Linked DNA regions of Notamacropus eugenii. The protein of the gene in region 1 purifies or fractionates together with the protein of each later gene. This does not show direct contact. Links are inferred from orthologs where the notes say so. Each region holds a gene or a part of one and is shown on either strand. Other genes may lie near its edges.

Region 1 (7,511 bases):
CAGGTGCACTGTGATAGTATACGTGAATTAAAGTATAAATATTATAGTATTTAGGAAAAACCAGTTAATCAAGTAAAAGTCTCTAGAAAGCATTTCTTACATACCCACTATGTGCTCAGCACTGTGTTAAATGCTGAGAATTCAAAGACAAAAAACAGCCCCTGTCCTCAAGGAACTCACTGTCTAATGGAGAGGCAACAGACAAACAGCTATGCACAAACAGGGTGAGTAGGAGACAATTAAAAAAAAAAAAAGGCAATAGAATTAAGGAGGACTGGGAAACACTTTTCCTGAAAGGCAGGACTTTAGCTGACACTTGATTAAGAAACACAGAAACCAGGAGGCAGAAGAGGAAAAAAGTTCCAAGCATAAGGACAGCCAGTGAAAATGCAGAGAGTATCATTTGCAAAGAACAGCAAGGAGGTCAGTGTCACAGTGGAGAGTATGTGGGAAGGTGAAATGTTAAGAAAACCAGAAAGGTCATAATTTAGAGAGGAATCTCTTAAATGGACAATGTGGCTAACCTTGAACTTTGTCTTTTTCTACATTCTCTCTATTGTCACGAATGATTAAAGGACAGGGAAGAGAGATGGAATATTTTTCTATTCCTTTTGGAATTTTCTTCTATAGAATTTATTACAGATTTCCCATTCTGAAGGAAGAATCTTCTTTGTATAAATATGTCAAAGATCACAGAACAAATGTGTGTGAGCAGATTCTCACTTCACTGTGTGTGATCCAAAGATTATGGCAATAAGACTTTAGGAAAGACTTCATTAATATCTATGTTCTCCTTGGTTTCTACTGAAATAGTTAATATCCTTCATTTCAAAATCTTATTGACCTATTTTGCAGAGTTGAAACTATTATGATTCTTATTAGTCAACTTTTGATATTGGTTTAGATTTTGGCTAAATAAAGGTTAAAGTGGTTAAGGTTTAATTTTGTTATTGATGTTACTAGTTACATCCCTCAAAGCAGAGTCAAATACATATAGATGCAAATCATAAATTCTTATCCTTTATTCTTAGCTTAGGCTTTTAAAGTTTCTAAAACGGAAAAATAACCAATATCACCTACCTTCAGCCAGTGCTAGAGCTTCCATAACTTTAACAGGAAGAGAAGATCCAAAAGTTTTCACATCATAGTTGATAGTCTCACTGACAGACTGGTGCTGTACCATTCTTGTGGGTGTTCCGCTAAATGAAATAATATAACTTGTCATTTGTTTTATAATTTCATTTCCTCCACTTACTTTGACATAATTTTAGCTCAAAAAAAAAAATAAAAGCAGGGGGACAATGAAAAATGAGGTATTATAGGAAAAGCACCTTCCTGGTAGTTAAGAAGCCCAGATTCTAATTTCAGCTCTGCTAATAACTAGCTATCTGGACTTGGGCAAGTAATTTACCTCTCAAAGCCTCAGTAAAATGTGACTGGAATAGATGATCCCTTCTAGCTCTAAAATTATGAGAAAAGAAACATAGGAAAACTAATGAATCACTCAAAACTACATGAGAAAACTAATGAATCAATTAGCATCTAATACAAGAGAATTTTGTTGTCATACTATTTTTTACAGTAAATATGGTAAAGTGGAAAGAAATATTTTCTTCTCATTTTTTATTCAAAATGCAGTAAATTTTCCATTTCGACATCTACAGAGCATTTATTTCAGATACAACACTCTACAATATAAGAGATAAAAGGATTAAAAAAAATCATTGTCCCCAGGAACCTTACGTTTTACAGTAAATAGTATTATTCCAAGGATCCTGCGATGAAGTTCAAATATCTTTCCCAGGTACACAGTGCTCTCACTGAAACATGAAAAGTCTATAATACGGTTTTAAGTAGCTAGGTGGGACAGTGTTTGGTAAAGTGCTAGACTTGGACTTAGGAAAACATCAATTCAGTAGTGCCTCAGATACTTACTAGCTGTAAAATAAGGCTAACAATAGCACCTACCTCCTCACAGGAGTGTAATTAGAATCAAATGAGATAGGTAAAGCTCTTTGTGCTGTTGTTATTATGGGGCCTTACGTTATCCGAAGGGTTGTTATTTCAACATGGGCAGCTGAAGAACAAATAAAATGAAACTTAAAGAAGACATGGTTCTTGTTCACTACCAATTTTCACTAAAGCAACAAGTAACACAACAAAAACATTTTGCAGAGCATTTTGTCCAAACTGGATGGATTAGAGATGAAGTCACTTCTTCACAATGCTTGTTTCTTTTCCATAGAAACTATAAAAGTAATTTTTCCCAAAAGAGCTACAGAAGCACCAATCTGCAGCCTTCCTACTTCTAGAAGAAGGAAAACCACTGTAGCAAATTCTGCTCAAAAAAGAAATTTCTAAGATAAAGATAGATTCCACTCCCACCCCTCAAGCTTTGGTTATGAAAGCTAAACAGGAAGAAGCCAGCACCACCAAGTATCTAACTCTAACCACTCCTTTACTTTTGTTCTTCAAATCTTATTTGATATTTCATGCTTTCCAAATTACATGTAAAAACAATTTTAACATTCTTTTTTCCTTTCAAATTCTGAGTTTCAAATTCTCCCCTACCCCCACTGAGAAGGCAAGCAATTTGACAGAGGCTTTACACCACTGGTCATGCAAAACATACGGCATGCTGTGAAAGAAAACCAACCAAAACAAAAACCCTAAGAAAAAGTGTCTTGGATCTGCATCCTTGACATGGTCAGCGGGGGTTCTCATCCCCTCCCAACTCTAAGAACCGGAGACGCCGGCCTCTTCAGCCTCTTCCCACCCTCCGAGCTCTCGGTGCCTGCAGCCTGGCTCCCTCACCACTCAGCCTCCCCCGTCTCGGTGTCTCGGGGGCACTTAGTTACGGGCATGCTGTCTCTGCACACACGGACCCCCCCCCCCCACTCCCGCAGTGTATGCTTCCCGAGGTCTGATCAGTGCTAGCTGACTGACTGAGCCTCAGTAAAAGGGGGCCCCTTGCACAGCGGGCTTCGCTGGGGTCTGGGGCGGAAAGCACTTCGTAAACCTTAGAGTTCAACCAGCATGGATCGTTAGGATCAGGGCTGCTCTGATGGTGGGCGGGAGAAAGCTTACAGGGGGAGGGGCACTTTCCTGTCCCCTTGCCATGGCACGCTTCAGTTCAGGGCCCCGAGCACTCGCTGGGCAGGGCCAGGCCGAGGGCCACTGGGACACAGGCCCCACCCCAGGTGGATGGTCAGCCCGTTCGCGAGCCCAAACGCGCGGGGAGGCTGCCCCTGCGGCCCCTCGGGATGTCCGGGCCCGACCCACGCAACAGCTGACGTAAAGGAGGGGGGGGAGGGGAGAAAAGAATCCGCTTACCGCGCACTCAGGGAGCTGCGGCGGCTAACCGGCGAGAACAGCCCGGGCGAGCCCACGGCGGACCCCAGGGTCAGGCCTTTCCTACCCCCCGCGCGGGGCGTGGAGACCGGCGTGGTTCCCCCCAATGGGCCCCTGCGGACCCCAGCTCCTGGGGTCCGCGGGGAGGCGGAGGCAGTAGGGAACATGACGAGACGGGAGGAACCGTAGGGATCCCAAACACGGGAGCTGAAAGGAACGCGGGCCGGTTGAAAACGAGGCGCGTTGCGATGACGTCACGACGCCCTCACCCGCCGGCGCTTTCCAGCTGCATGATTGGGTCTGGCGCGTGCGTTTGACGGGGGTGAGATCGGAAGTGGAACCGGAAATCCCGCCTCCTTCGTCCCGGAACTTGGGTCTGTCACGCTTGTTTTCTAGGCTGAAGAACTCGGTGGGTTTTAGACAAAAACCCTGAAGCTACCGCGTGGGGTTGGGATAGGGAACCTGCGGCCTGTGGCTTTCTAGGTCCTCAAGTGCGCCCCTTTGGCCTAATCCAGACTAGTGTGGTCACTATGAAGGACTCCAGGCTTTAGATTTGTGAGAAGCACGAGAGCAAGCGGCGCGTGGAGTTCAAGAAAGGCCCCGCGAGCCGCCAGTGTACGGAAAAGGCATCAAATCCTCATTTTTGAACTTGGAACCAGAAGATGCGAGTTCGAATCCTGCCTCTGATACTTAAGCAGTGTAGCCGTGGACAAGTCGCTTAGCCTCTGCCTCAGTTTCCTCCTCTATAAAGTGGGGATAAGACCAGCATCTTCCTCACGGCGTTGTGAGGGTAAAGAGACAACAGGAGAAGCCCTGAACGAGTAAAGCGCTCTGCAAACCTTCAAGCTACGTGTAAGCGCGGGCTGTTACTATCCCAGTCTTTCCGAGGCGGATGGAGAGATGCTGTGGAGACAGGACCAGGATCCTAGTGTAGACCGCTGCCTGTTATCAGTGACCTCTAGCAATGCCGAGACTCTTCCTGGGTCTCTTCGGTGTGACCTCTTTTGTCCCCTGGCCCTATACCACCCTGGTGCAGGTCCCCTCATCCCCGCACCTCTGCTGTCACGTCATTTCCTGACCCTGAAATCCTGTGGATTCTCTCCTTAGTTTATCTTGTTTGAACATAGTCTCCATTCTGCAGGAAACGCCTTGAAGGCAGGGAATATCGTTTGCCTTTCTGTGTATCCCTGCGCTTAACAAAGTGCCTGGCACACAGTAAGTGTTTAATAAATGCTCTCTAATTGGTTAATGAGGTCAAATAAAGAATTTTTTTTAGAGTTAAGAAGATAATGCATAGTGATTGAAAATGGGAGAAGATAATGGTGGAATAAAATCAAGGGCACAAGTAGAGGGTTCTAGCCTTGGCTAGGAAAGGGACATTGCTTCCTGTAAATATTGTAGTAAAAAAGGAAAAAATGGGAGATGAAGTTGAGGGCATTTGGGGTGCAGAATTGAGAAGAAAGGACTCACAATGGGATGGTTTTAGTCTTTTCAGCAATATAATATGTCAGGTTCTCTGGTTAGGGCAGAAGCAGGTGGTAGAGGGTAGTTTCAGGGGGAAAAGAAGTTTGAAATGGTTGCTCTGGGCATTTCAGTGGTCCATTAATGAACAAAAGTGTGTGGGATGGCTCAGGTCCCTACTTAAATCAATTACTCAGAGGCCTCTCCAAGTGATGACAGAAAGTTTATTTACTAGATTCTCGAGAATCAGGACAATCCTACACCAGTTCATCTGGAGTAGGAAAGACAATAACAAAGAAAAGGCAGTGATTTATATAGACCCTAACGCAAGTCCTTCCTCCCCCACTGACCATTATCCTCATTAGCTGAGAATATGATCTTACATTCTAGACACGAACTCTAACCAATCCCTTTTGAAATGAAGACATTGAGGAATTATGTAAGTTTTATCCAATCATTAAGACCCTAATACACTACACAGTTTTACATCCTTATATGGAACTATTCTATTCTAAAAATATTGTAACCTTGAGCCTCTAGGTCTTACTTCACCCCTGGGAGAAGAATTACAATCTGAGAAGTCTTCACTATCCCACTCAATCCCTCCTCTTATTTATTAACCTGAAGACTTCTCACAGATATTTCAACCAAAGTTCTGTAACATGATCTCACACTGTCTATTAATCTCCTCATCCCAATCAGGGTCATTCCTGTCTTTTGTCTCCACAGATGCCCATCCTTCCTTCTTTAGTGTCATCAACCAAATGGCTCCTTTGGTCTTCTCTTCTACTCTAGCAAGTTTTAGGAGAGAATTTCTAACTATTTTAGTAATAAGTGAAATCAAACAAGGTAAACAAATAGGAAGTAATATGATACCACTAATTGCTATGAGGCCAAACCACAGTAATCTCTTCCCACCAGCTCCCTTCAAACCAGGACCACCAAGACGTATTGAAAAGGGAGTTTCAAATTTGTACCAGAACGCGGGCAACTTTCCTGATATTCTTGGTGATCTTTCTCTGTCCTTCCATTATCATCAATTTTTAAGCAACATATAGATAAATTGAATTTCCCACAAACTCCCCCTTCTTCTGCAAGTAAATAATCTAAGATCAGTCTATGTTGCAGTACTGCTTCCCTAGTTTGTGTGGCTTGATCAGCCAATAAGTCCAAAGCCTTTGCTATTTGATTGGTTATAATTTCAACTACTGCTTGGAGTCTGATTAGTCTATTTAATAGATATATAGGGGTTCTATAACCCCAACTCCCTTCTTGAGCCCAAGTTGCAGGCCCATACTCTCTAATTATCCTCTCAGGAGGCCAAGTGTCACCCCACCCATTTGCATTTCCAGTCTGAGTGAGGGAGGTGTCAATGTTCCTCTTCCTTTTGGCTAGATCATCATATAGAGGGACTCCTAGATGCTGTTTCCCTGATTCAGGCAAGAAAAAGAATTTAGGTCTCACCAATCCAATGTAACAAACACCTCTCCAGTTTAGCAGAAGGTGAGTATAAGCTGTCTGTCCACATATCCAATAATGTCCTCTCAAAGCAGGATTTTCCTCTAGAAACAGTCTTACTCTATAATCCACAGCCAGAAAGTACTTCACATCATCCGGGCCTAATGGTCCCCCTTTCAGGATCTCTGACTTGCACTTCCATAGTTGTTGTTTCCTCTTCCATATACAATGTTGATAATTCTCCCCAGTTCTATTGATTACACTCCAGAAAGTATCAAACATCATCCTATGTGTTCCATTCTCCTGCTTCCATACCCATTCTCTATATTCTGTGTTATTCTTAGTACTATTCATATATATGCAACTCCACAAATAGTCATAGTCGTGACCCCCTTCACATTGTTTTCTGGGATCAGAGGGGTTGTAAAACTTATACCCGCAACTCCTGTGATATTCCCCTTTTGTTCTCTCCTCCTATGAAGAGGATGGGAAAAATAAATGGGTACAGGGAATCACCCTACCATCTGAGCAGGTAATACTGTTCTGATCCCATCTGTTTGCATACTGGGCACAATCAATACGAGCCAGGGTTTCTGGTCTTTGTGTGAATGTCCACTTACAATTACTTTCTCCCAACCATGTCTCCTGCAATTCGGGTCCTGTTTAATTTAAACAATGTTCACCCGGAACTGATTCGGACAAAAACCATTGGTGTTTCTCTTGGCTTATCCAGAATCTTGTTCTGTCATGTACTACAGATCTATTACTTAAAATCCAGACTGAACTCAGCAGTACTGCTACCCATGGCCATTGACTTAACCGCTGAGGTCCCCCACAAATCCAATAATCGGATACCTCAAAGGTTTCCACAATGGTCTGAATTAGGTCCAGGAAACTATTTTCAAGAGGGGGGGTTGATAACTGGGGCCTGATATCCCAGCAGTGGGAGCAGGATCATGCCCAAAAGGGACATTCCCAAGGTATTACATTTTGGTTGCATTGTTCCCAAGGTTTGTCAAGTCCACACAATCTTAATAGAAGAGTCCTGTTTAGATGTTGTGGTAAATGGCTTAGGACAATTGCTGAACAGAGAATCCTGTTAAGAACAAACAATAATAATCCTAGTATAGTTCCCCAAATAACAAAACTTATAATGAATTTATATATATGCCTCATTGGCTATCCCTTTCCAAATTCTGTGTGTTCTCACACATGCTTCAAACGGAGCTTTTAATACTGAC
Region 2 (7,698 bases), on another chromosome or scaffold:
AGAAAACCACAAATGAACATTATTTGTGTTGTATTGTATTTTTATTTTTTTGTTATATGTCTCCCAATTAATTTTAATCGGGTTGCCTTGGAATTTTACAAGGTCACAATTTTGAAGCGTCTAGCAAAAAAAACCAGCCTATTCAGAAATATTTCCCCTCCGAACTTTCTTTTCCTAGTCTCTCCCATGCTGGCATCGACAATGAGCTTCTATTAGAAAGATTATCAGCAGGAACAGGACAAATCACTCACTCTGGCTCAGTTTCTTCCTAGTACCTACTGGATCTAACACCACAAACTGTTGAAAGAATCAGTTGAGATTAAAGTTGTTGGAAGAATCCCTGTGGTGCAACAACCCTTTGTATAACACTTTCAACACAGTAGGGCAATCTTTTATTCCTCCCTAAGTGATTTCCTCATGCACTCCCCACAAATTCTTTTTCAAACTACATTACAGAGGAAATACACAAATGAATAAGAGATGTCATAGTCTCTGCTCTTAAGAATGAATATGATCTGGGTCAGAAGACAAACACATTCAAAAACTGAATGCATGGGGGACATCTACAAAAAATAAAAATAAAAAAAAATCACTTAAGGAAGCAAGTATACATACATCGTGCTGGAAGAAATATATAATCAGATTTGGTATAAGGTCAGTGCCTTCTTTAACTACTGAAATGTAGCTTTTGCACTGTCTGCACTCCTTCCCCCATTATGCCCTCCATCATTACCCCCCTATCTTTCAGAATTTTTCATTTTCTTCAAGAATCAGCTCAAACTCTGTCTCCTACAAGAAGACCCCAAATGTCAGTGCTTTGCCCCTAAAACTATGTTCTTTTGTGAGTGTGTATGGTGCTTTCCACCTACTTTTTCTCCCATTGGAAGATCCTAGAGGGCAGGACCTATTTCACTCTTGACTTTATATCCTGGCACAGAATAGGTACTTAATAAATGTTTGCCCATTGATTCTTTGATTCTGACATTTTCCTTTTTATAGTACCAGCATAACGGAAGATGAACTGGAATTGAACACTGCCTCCAGAGTCTTTGCCCTAGTCACTTTCCAGACTGGCTATTTCTTGTCAGGGAGAGCCTGAACCTGTTACTGCATCTATAAAATGGGAAGATTTTCACTGCCTACTTCACATGAAATCATGCGTATAAAGATACATATACCATGCACAAGAACATGGCAAAGTACACACTGTAGCTATTATTATCATTCAGCAAGTGAGCCAAGGTTCCAGCTAAAAGCATTAATGACAAATACATTTATATAAAGCTTTTAGGTTTGTAGTCTTCTTATCACCATGAGGTCTGAAGCCATAGGTAATTCAATAATTGGAAGGGATGAGTCCCTCAGATTTTCCCATAGTACACTAGGTCTCTCCTTTGTCTAACATGCTCCACTTTGTATTTGGGTACAAATCACAACATCTTGACAACTGAAATCACCCATATAGGAAAAGCATCTCCACGATAACATACTTAATAAGGAGTCATCCAGCTGCTGCTTGGACTCTTTAAAGACAGGCAACTAACCGCCAGCAGTAATGCTAATAGCATTTAGGGAACACTTTAAGGTTTGTAAAAGGCCTTATATTTTTTCTTATTTGAGTCTCACAAATGAGATATGTGAATCCTGTGAGGTACATGCAACTGTTTTTTCACAATTTACACCTGAGGAAACTGAAGCTGAAAAAGTTAGGTAATTTGCCCAGAGTCACATGGTAAGTACCTGAGGCAAGATTTAAATTCAGGTCTTGCTGAGTCAAGGTCCATATAGTTAAAAGTTTGTGGGGCAGCTGAGTGGTATAGAATGGATAGAAAGCCAGCCCTGGAGTCAGGATGATATGAGCTCAAATCTAGCCTCAGACACTTACTAGCCATGTGACCCTGGGCAAGTTTACCCTGTTTGCCTCAGTTTCCTCATCTGTAAAATGAGCTGGAGAAGGAAATGGCAAACCACTCCAATGTCTCTGCCAAGAAAACCCCAAATGGGGTCATGAAGAATTGGACACAACTACACAACAAAAATAAAAACTGTAGTTTGTATGTTACTTATGTGCAGGGATTAATGCCTTTTCCCATGTTCTTATCTCTAGGCTATAAAAAGTATCCTTTTTGTTACAAAAATTTTCTTTTGCCGAGTAGATACTTTAAAAACTATGCTGAAATGGGGTAGGTGATGTTTTGTTTTTTGGACTGGATATGTGATCTCATTAATATGAAGAACTCTAAGGCAAAGAAACTCTAGTTACTGGATAAAGGTGAACCAATATCTTCTCTGCAAATGAATCTTAGGAATGTGGCCTAGACCAGACATGTCAGACAACCAAGGACCTCACATGCTTCCCAACACACCCGAGTATGGCCTGAAGTAAAATAAATATAAGTAGGAAATACTTCATATATAACAATGTAATATAATTATATAATATACAGCATATAGTAATTATTAAGAAATACTTAAGAAAAATTTTCAAATGCAATAAAACATAATTACATTTTAAAACTCAATCAATATACTGCCTGCAGGAATCCTTACATATGCATTCATGGCCTAGTTTTGAGTTTGACACCACTGGCCTAGAACACTAACAGATTAAGTGAACCACCCAGGGTCACACAGCTTATGTGAAACCCAGGTTTTCCTGACACCACGATCTTGCCTTTCTTTTGTACATTTCTGGGGAGCACCTAACTTGTTATTTCATTGGTACAGAGGATGTGCTGAAGCTAGCTCAGACCAACTAGTGAGAGCTGGCTGTTAAATTTTCAGTGTGAACATTTAAACCTCTAAAACACTACCAATCAGTCCTGAGTTTATTGTTTGCTTAAGAAAGTGAGAGAGAAAATAATGCAGGTTCAGCTTAAAAGTGTGTCTGAAACAGCTGGTCCTGGAGTCAGGTAAGACCTGCGTTCACATCCATCCTTAGACACTTCCTAGCTGTGTGACCTCAGGCCTGCCATTTAACCTCTGCTGCCTCACTTTGCTCAACTATGATATGGTGATAAGAGCATCCACTTTGTAGTTGGGAGCATATAGCACAGTACCTGGCACAGTCCTCACCCCCAATGCATTTTTTTTTCCTCCTGAGAGTTGGTTGTTAATGTTGATCAGCAACTATGTTGCAACTTGCCCAAGGCAGACTGATTCTCTATCCCATATGCCAAGCTGATGCTGATGGAGGTAGTGGTAGTGGTAGAGACGGTAGTAGCAGCAGCAGCAGTAATAGAAGTACTAGTACCACTAGTAGTAGTAGCAGCAGCAGCTGCAGTAAAAGTAGAAGTAGTAGCAGCAGTACAAGTAGCAATAGAAGTAGCAGTAACAGTAGCAGCAGTAGTAGTAACAGTAGCAGCAGTAGTAACAGTAGCAGCAGTAGTAGTAACAGTAGCAGTAGTAGTAACAGTAGCAGTAGTAGTAGCAGCAGCTGCAGTAAAAGTAGCAATATTAATAGTAGAAGTAGTAGCAGCAGTAGTAGCACCAGTAGCAGTAGAAGTAGCTGTAGAAGTAGCAGTAACAGTAGCAGCAGCAGTAGTAACAGTAGCAGTAGTAGTAGCAGCAGCTGCAGTAAAAGTAGCAATATTAACAGCAGAAGTAGTAGCAGCAGTAGCAGCAAGGGGCTTTTGCAGCACTTAGCACAGTGTCTGGCATACAGTAGGAGCTTAATAAATGTTTACCAAAATGAACTGAATTGCCATCAAGGTCACAAAGGTGGTAAGTGGCGGGGGCAGGGATCATAGCAGGGATTGTGGATGCGGGTGTCTTGGGCATCATGCCCTCCCCTCCCCCACTGCTAGTGTGCTCCCTACAGAACTGGCCTGAAGTCTGGAGGACCTGAGTTCAAATCCGACCCCAGGTACTCCCTGGCTGTGTGACCCTGGGCAAGTCACTTCCCTTTTTTGCCTCAGTTTCCTCATCTGTCAAAGGAGCTGGAGAAGGAGATGGCAAACTGGCCAGAAAACCCCAGACTGGGTCACAAGCACCATGACAATGATCATTATTGGGGGGGGGGGGGGTCCTCGGGGGAGTGGCCCTGCCTCGGTTTCCCTATCCGTGGGGTGGGGATGATGATGACAAGCACCGACACCCCCTCCCCAAGACTGGGGCGGGTCGCTAGGCCGAGCAGAAAGGGCCCCACAAAGCGCCTTGCATTTTACAAGTGAGGAAACTGAGGCCCCCAACTTGCCCAAGGTCCCCGGACTGGGAAGTGACGGCGGCAGGATTTGAACCCGGGTACCCTCGGTCTCCTCTCCTCCCGCCCCCCGTGCCCCGCGAGCTCACCTGACCAACCCCACCGCCCGCCCGGGTAGTCACCGGCTCGCGCCGCCTCAGCTGCTTCTGCTGCGGCTCCGGGAGATTTAAACTTCGGCTCCGCGAGCGGTTGGAGGCCACGGACCAATCAGCGGCGGCGCCCTCTGACCCGGAAGCGCTAGCGCGCGAGTCGCCGCGCCGGGGCCAGAGCGCGCATGCGCCGGAGGCGGAGGCGGCACTGTGGAGTTTACCGTGGGTCAGGAAGCCAGATCGACCAAATTTTCGTCTCCTCCTCTTCCTTTCCTTCTCTGCCTCCTCCTCCTCCTCACTCGAGTCTCACCGCCGTCGGGGAAGTAAGTGCCCTTGTCTTCCTCATTCCTCAGGTGAGGAAACTGAGGCCAGGAAGAGGGCGGGGGCAAGAGCTGGTACCGCCCTCCCAGGCCGGGGCTAGACCCCCCTCATGATAATAATAATGGTTGTTATCGTAGCCAGATAATTGTTATTTATTCTATGTGTTCATGTGCACGTAACCCTTTATAGACACGAATTCATATTTGTAGAGGTGTTTATATGTTACTTATTTCTATACACGTTTACATGTTCAGAGCTTCTCCATCTGCTGTAATGAATGGTTCCCCCCATGGAGGGTGTGCTGGCGGCTGATGCTGCACGTGTGTTTCTTTGGTGTTGATTATTAGGCCAAAATGAGCACAGGCAGCAGAGAACTGATCCATGCTCTGTTGCATCTCGACCGCACTGAGTGCACAATCGTCTGCAAACGGAAAATCATGCACCAACACTCCCTCCACTTTGGTCTTGGCTTGTAACCTTTTCAAATTGAAGAATTTGCCATCAGTAGCGTAGTTGACCTTGATGCTGGGTTCATCCTCACTGAAAGCATTTGACAACATGACTGAAAACGTCATGCTAAAAAAGGATGTTAGCAAGCACACAGCCCTGTTTCACTCCATTGGTGACTGGGAAGGCACTAGAGCATTGTCTACTGTCCAGAACCCGGGCAAACAGTGTCATCATGAAATTGATGTACAATATTGATGAACTTCTCTGGACAACCAAATGTTGACATAATTTTCCATAAGCCCTCACCACTAACTGTATCAAAGGCCTTGATCAGATCTACAGACGTCCTGCTCCTGGCATTTCTCCTGGAGTTCAGGTAGCATGTAGTTATGCCAGTTGTCTGTGTATTGAGTATATACAAATACAGTGCCTTAAGGTTTGTGAAGCACTTTATAAATATGATCTCATTTGGCCCTCACAACAACCTTGGGAGGCAGGTGCCATGATGATCCCCATTTAACAGATGAGGAAATTGAGGCAACTCAATTTGAGTCAACTTGACTTATCCCTGAGTCACACTGCTAGTAAGTTATTAAGGTTGGATTTGAACTCAGATATCATATCCACCCGGCTGCCTGTAGGATCCTAGAACTAGAGCTGGAAGAGGCCTCAGAGGCTGTTTAGTGGAACCCCCTTATTTTGCAGGTGGGGAAAATGAGGCTTAGAGTTTTAAGCTCATCGACCTAGTGCTGGGAGGGGCTTCAGAGTCCATTTGGTACAGCCTCATTTTAGAGAGGAGCAAACTGAGGCTTAACAAAGGCGCTCTAGCTTTGGAGCTAGAAGAGCCTCAGAATACATCTCTTCCAACTGCCTCATTCTACAGAAGAGAAAACATCTAAGACTCTAGGCTTCTACTTCCTCACCTGTAAAATGAAGGGTTTGGATTGGTTGCCTTCTGAAGTCCCTTCCAACTCTAACTCTAGGTCTGAGGACCACAGATTTAGACCCAGAAGGGGTCTCAGAGATCATCTCATCCATTCACCTGTTTTGTTTTATTTGATTCATTGACAAGCATTTGTTTTCTCTTTATCCTGCCCTCAGTTTAAAAGAAAAAGAAAACTCTTGTAACACATATCCACCACAAATCCCCACATTGTCTCATTCTGCATCTTGAATCCATCTTCTTTCCATCAGGAGGTGAGTCCTCTGAAATCAGGACTAGTTGTTACTTTGATCAGAATTCTTACATCTTTTGTAGTTGTCTTTATGATGTTGCTAATGTATAAATTCTGATAGTGGTCACTTCATTCTGCATCAGTTCATAAAAGTCTTCACAATTTTTTCATCATCTCTTAGTACAAAATAGTATTCCATAATCTGTTCGCTTATTCCCCAATTGGTGGGTACCTCTTACTTTCTAGTTCTTTGGCTCTGCAAATGAGCTATAGATATTTTTATATGTATGGATCCTTTTCCTCTTCCTTTGATCTGGACTGTTGGCCTAGTACAGGTATGACCAAATCAGTATGCAAAGGGTATGTTTACTGACTTTTGGTCATGGTTTCAAATTGATTTCCAGAATGTCTGGACTAAGTCACTGTCACGCCAGTAGTTCATTAATATACCTAATTTCCTTCCGGCCCCTCCATTGCTGTAGTTTTCCTTTTTTGTTGTTGTATTTGCCAATCTGGCGGAACCTCAGGGTTGCTTTGTCTTTCTCTAATTACCAGTGATTTGCTGCATTTTTCCTTATGGCTGTTGATAGCTTCAGTGTCTTCCTTTTAGAAGTGCCTGCTCACATGTTTTGACCATTTCTCAGATGAAGCATGACTCATGTTCTTATGAATCTGAGGCAGTCCCTTTTATAAAAGTCTTTGAATTGAGCCCTTTATCAAAGAACTTGGCTGTAGTAATTTTCCCCCAGTTAACTCTTTCCCTTCTAATTTTAGCTTCACTGGTTTTATTTATGCAAAATAAATTTTAATTTTTTTTAATCAAAATGGTCTCTTCATCCATGAACTCTTCCCTATTCACAGATCTGAAAGAAAATTTCTAACTTAGTCCTCTAAATTGTTTATGACATCACCTTTTTATAGCTTAGTCATGCATTCATTTAGAAGTGATCCTTTTTGTGTGCTTTGGTTTACCTTTATTTCTCACAGAACATGACCAAGATGAGAGGTCTGAGTTTCCCCAAACAAAATTAGGTTTTAGAGACTAAGTTTGAAGCAACTGAAATGTTGTCATATACTATGGATCATGCTCCAAGTATCCCGTCATCCAAGTGTCCTGAGATTGAGACTTTTCCACAGAGAACTAGCCTGGAGTAACCGTAATGTTACTCAGAGTGTGTGTCTCCAACCACAAAGATCTTGTCCTTTGAGTGTTACATAGTTACTTACGCTGACCTTTGTTTTCCTCCTCCTTCCTGGAGGTGAGTGGACCAAAGGCATGCACATTGCACACGTTTTCCAAACGCACCACGGATGGGCTGACGTTTTATTTTCCTCCCTCACATACCCCATCCATACTAAGGATCATCCTGATTTTACAGATGAAGAAACTAAGGCCCATTTGCCCAAAGTCACAGGGAGAAGTGGCAGGGAATGGAAAAAGATCTGTGATTTCATTGGTCTG

Evidence for each region.
Region 2: the proteins of NUP133 (region 1) and NUP37 purify together in Homo sapiens (affinity purification with mass spectrometry; 4 studies listed by BioGRID and IntAct, with this or other methods). This does not show direct contact. The link is inferred for Notamacropus eugenii from reciprocal best matches to the Homo sapiens genes NUP133 and NUP37.

Annotation. Positions count from the first base shown.
Region 1 is NC_092873.1:388,637,201-388,644,711, reverse strand, and holds the start of NUP133 (nuclear pore complex protein Nup133), read right to left. Parts: upstream 3,535-7,511; 5' UTR 3,519-3,534; coding exon 3,334-3,518; intron 3,241-3,333; exon of another isoform or gene 3,088-3,240; intron 2,234-3,087; exon of another isoform or gene 1,412-2,233; intron 1,200-1,411; coding exon 1,081-1,199; intron 1-1,080. UniProt on the Homo sapiens protein: Involved in poly(A)+ RNA transport. Involved in nephrogenesis.
Region 2 is NC_092874.1:285,065,897-285,073,594, reverse strand, and holds the start of NUP37 (nucleoporin Nup37), read left to right. Parts: upstream 1-4,454; 5' UTR 4,455-4,475; coding exon 4,476-4,643; intron 4,644-7,698. UniProt on the Homo sapiens protein: Component of the Nup107-160 subcomplex of the nuclear pore complex (NPC). The Nup107-160 subcomplex is required for the assembly of a functional NPC.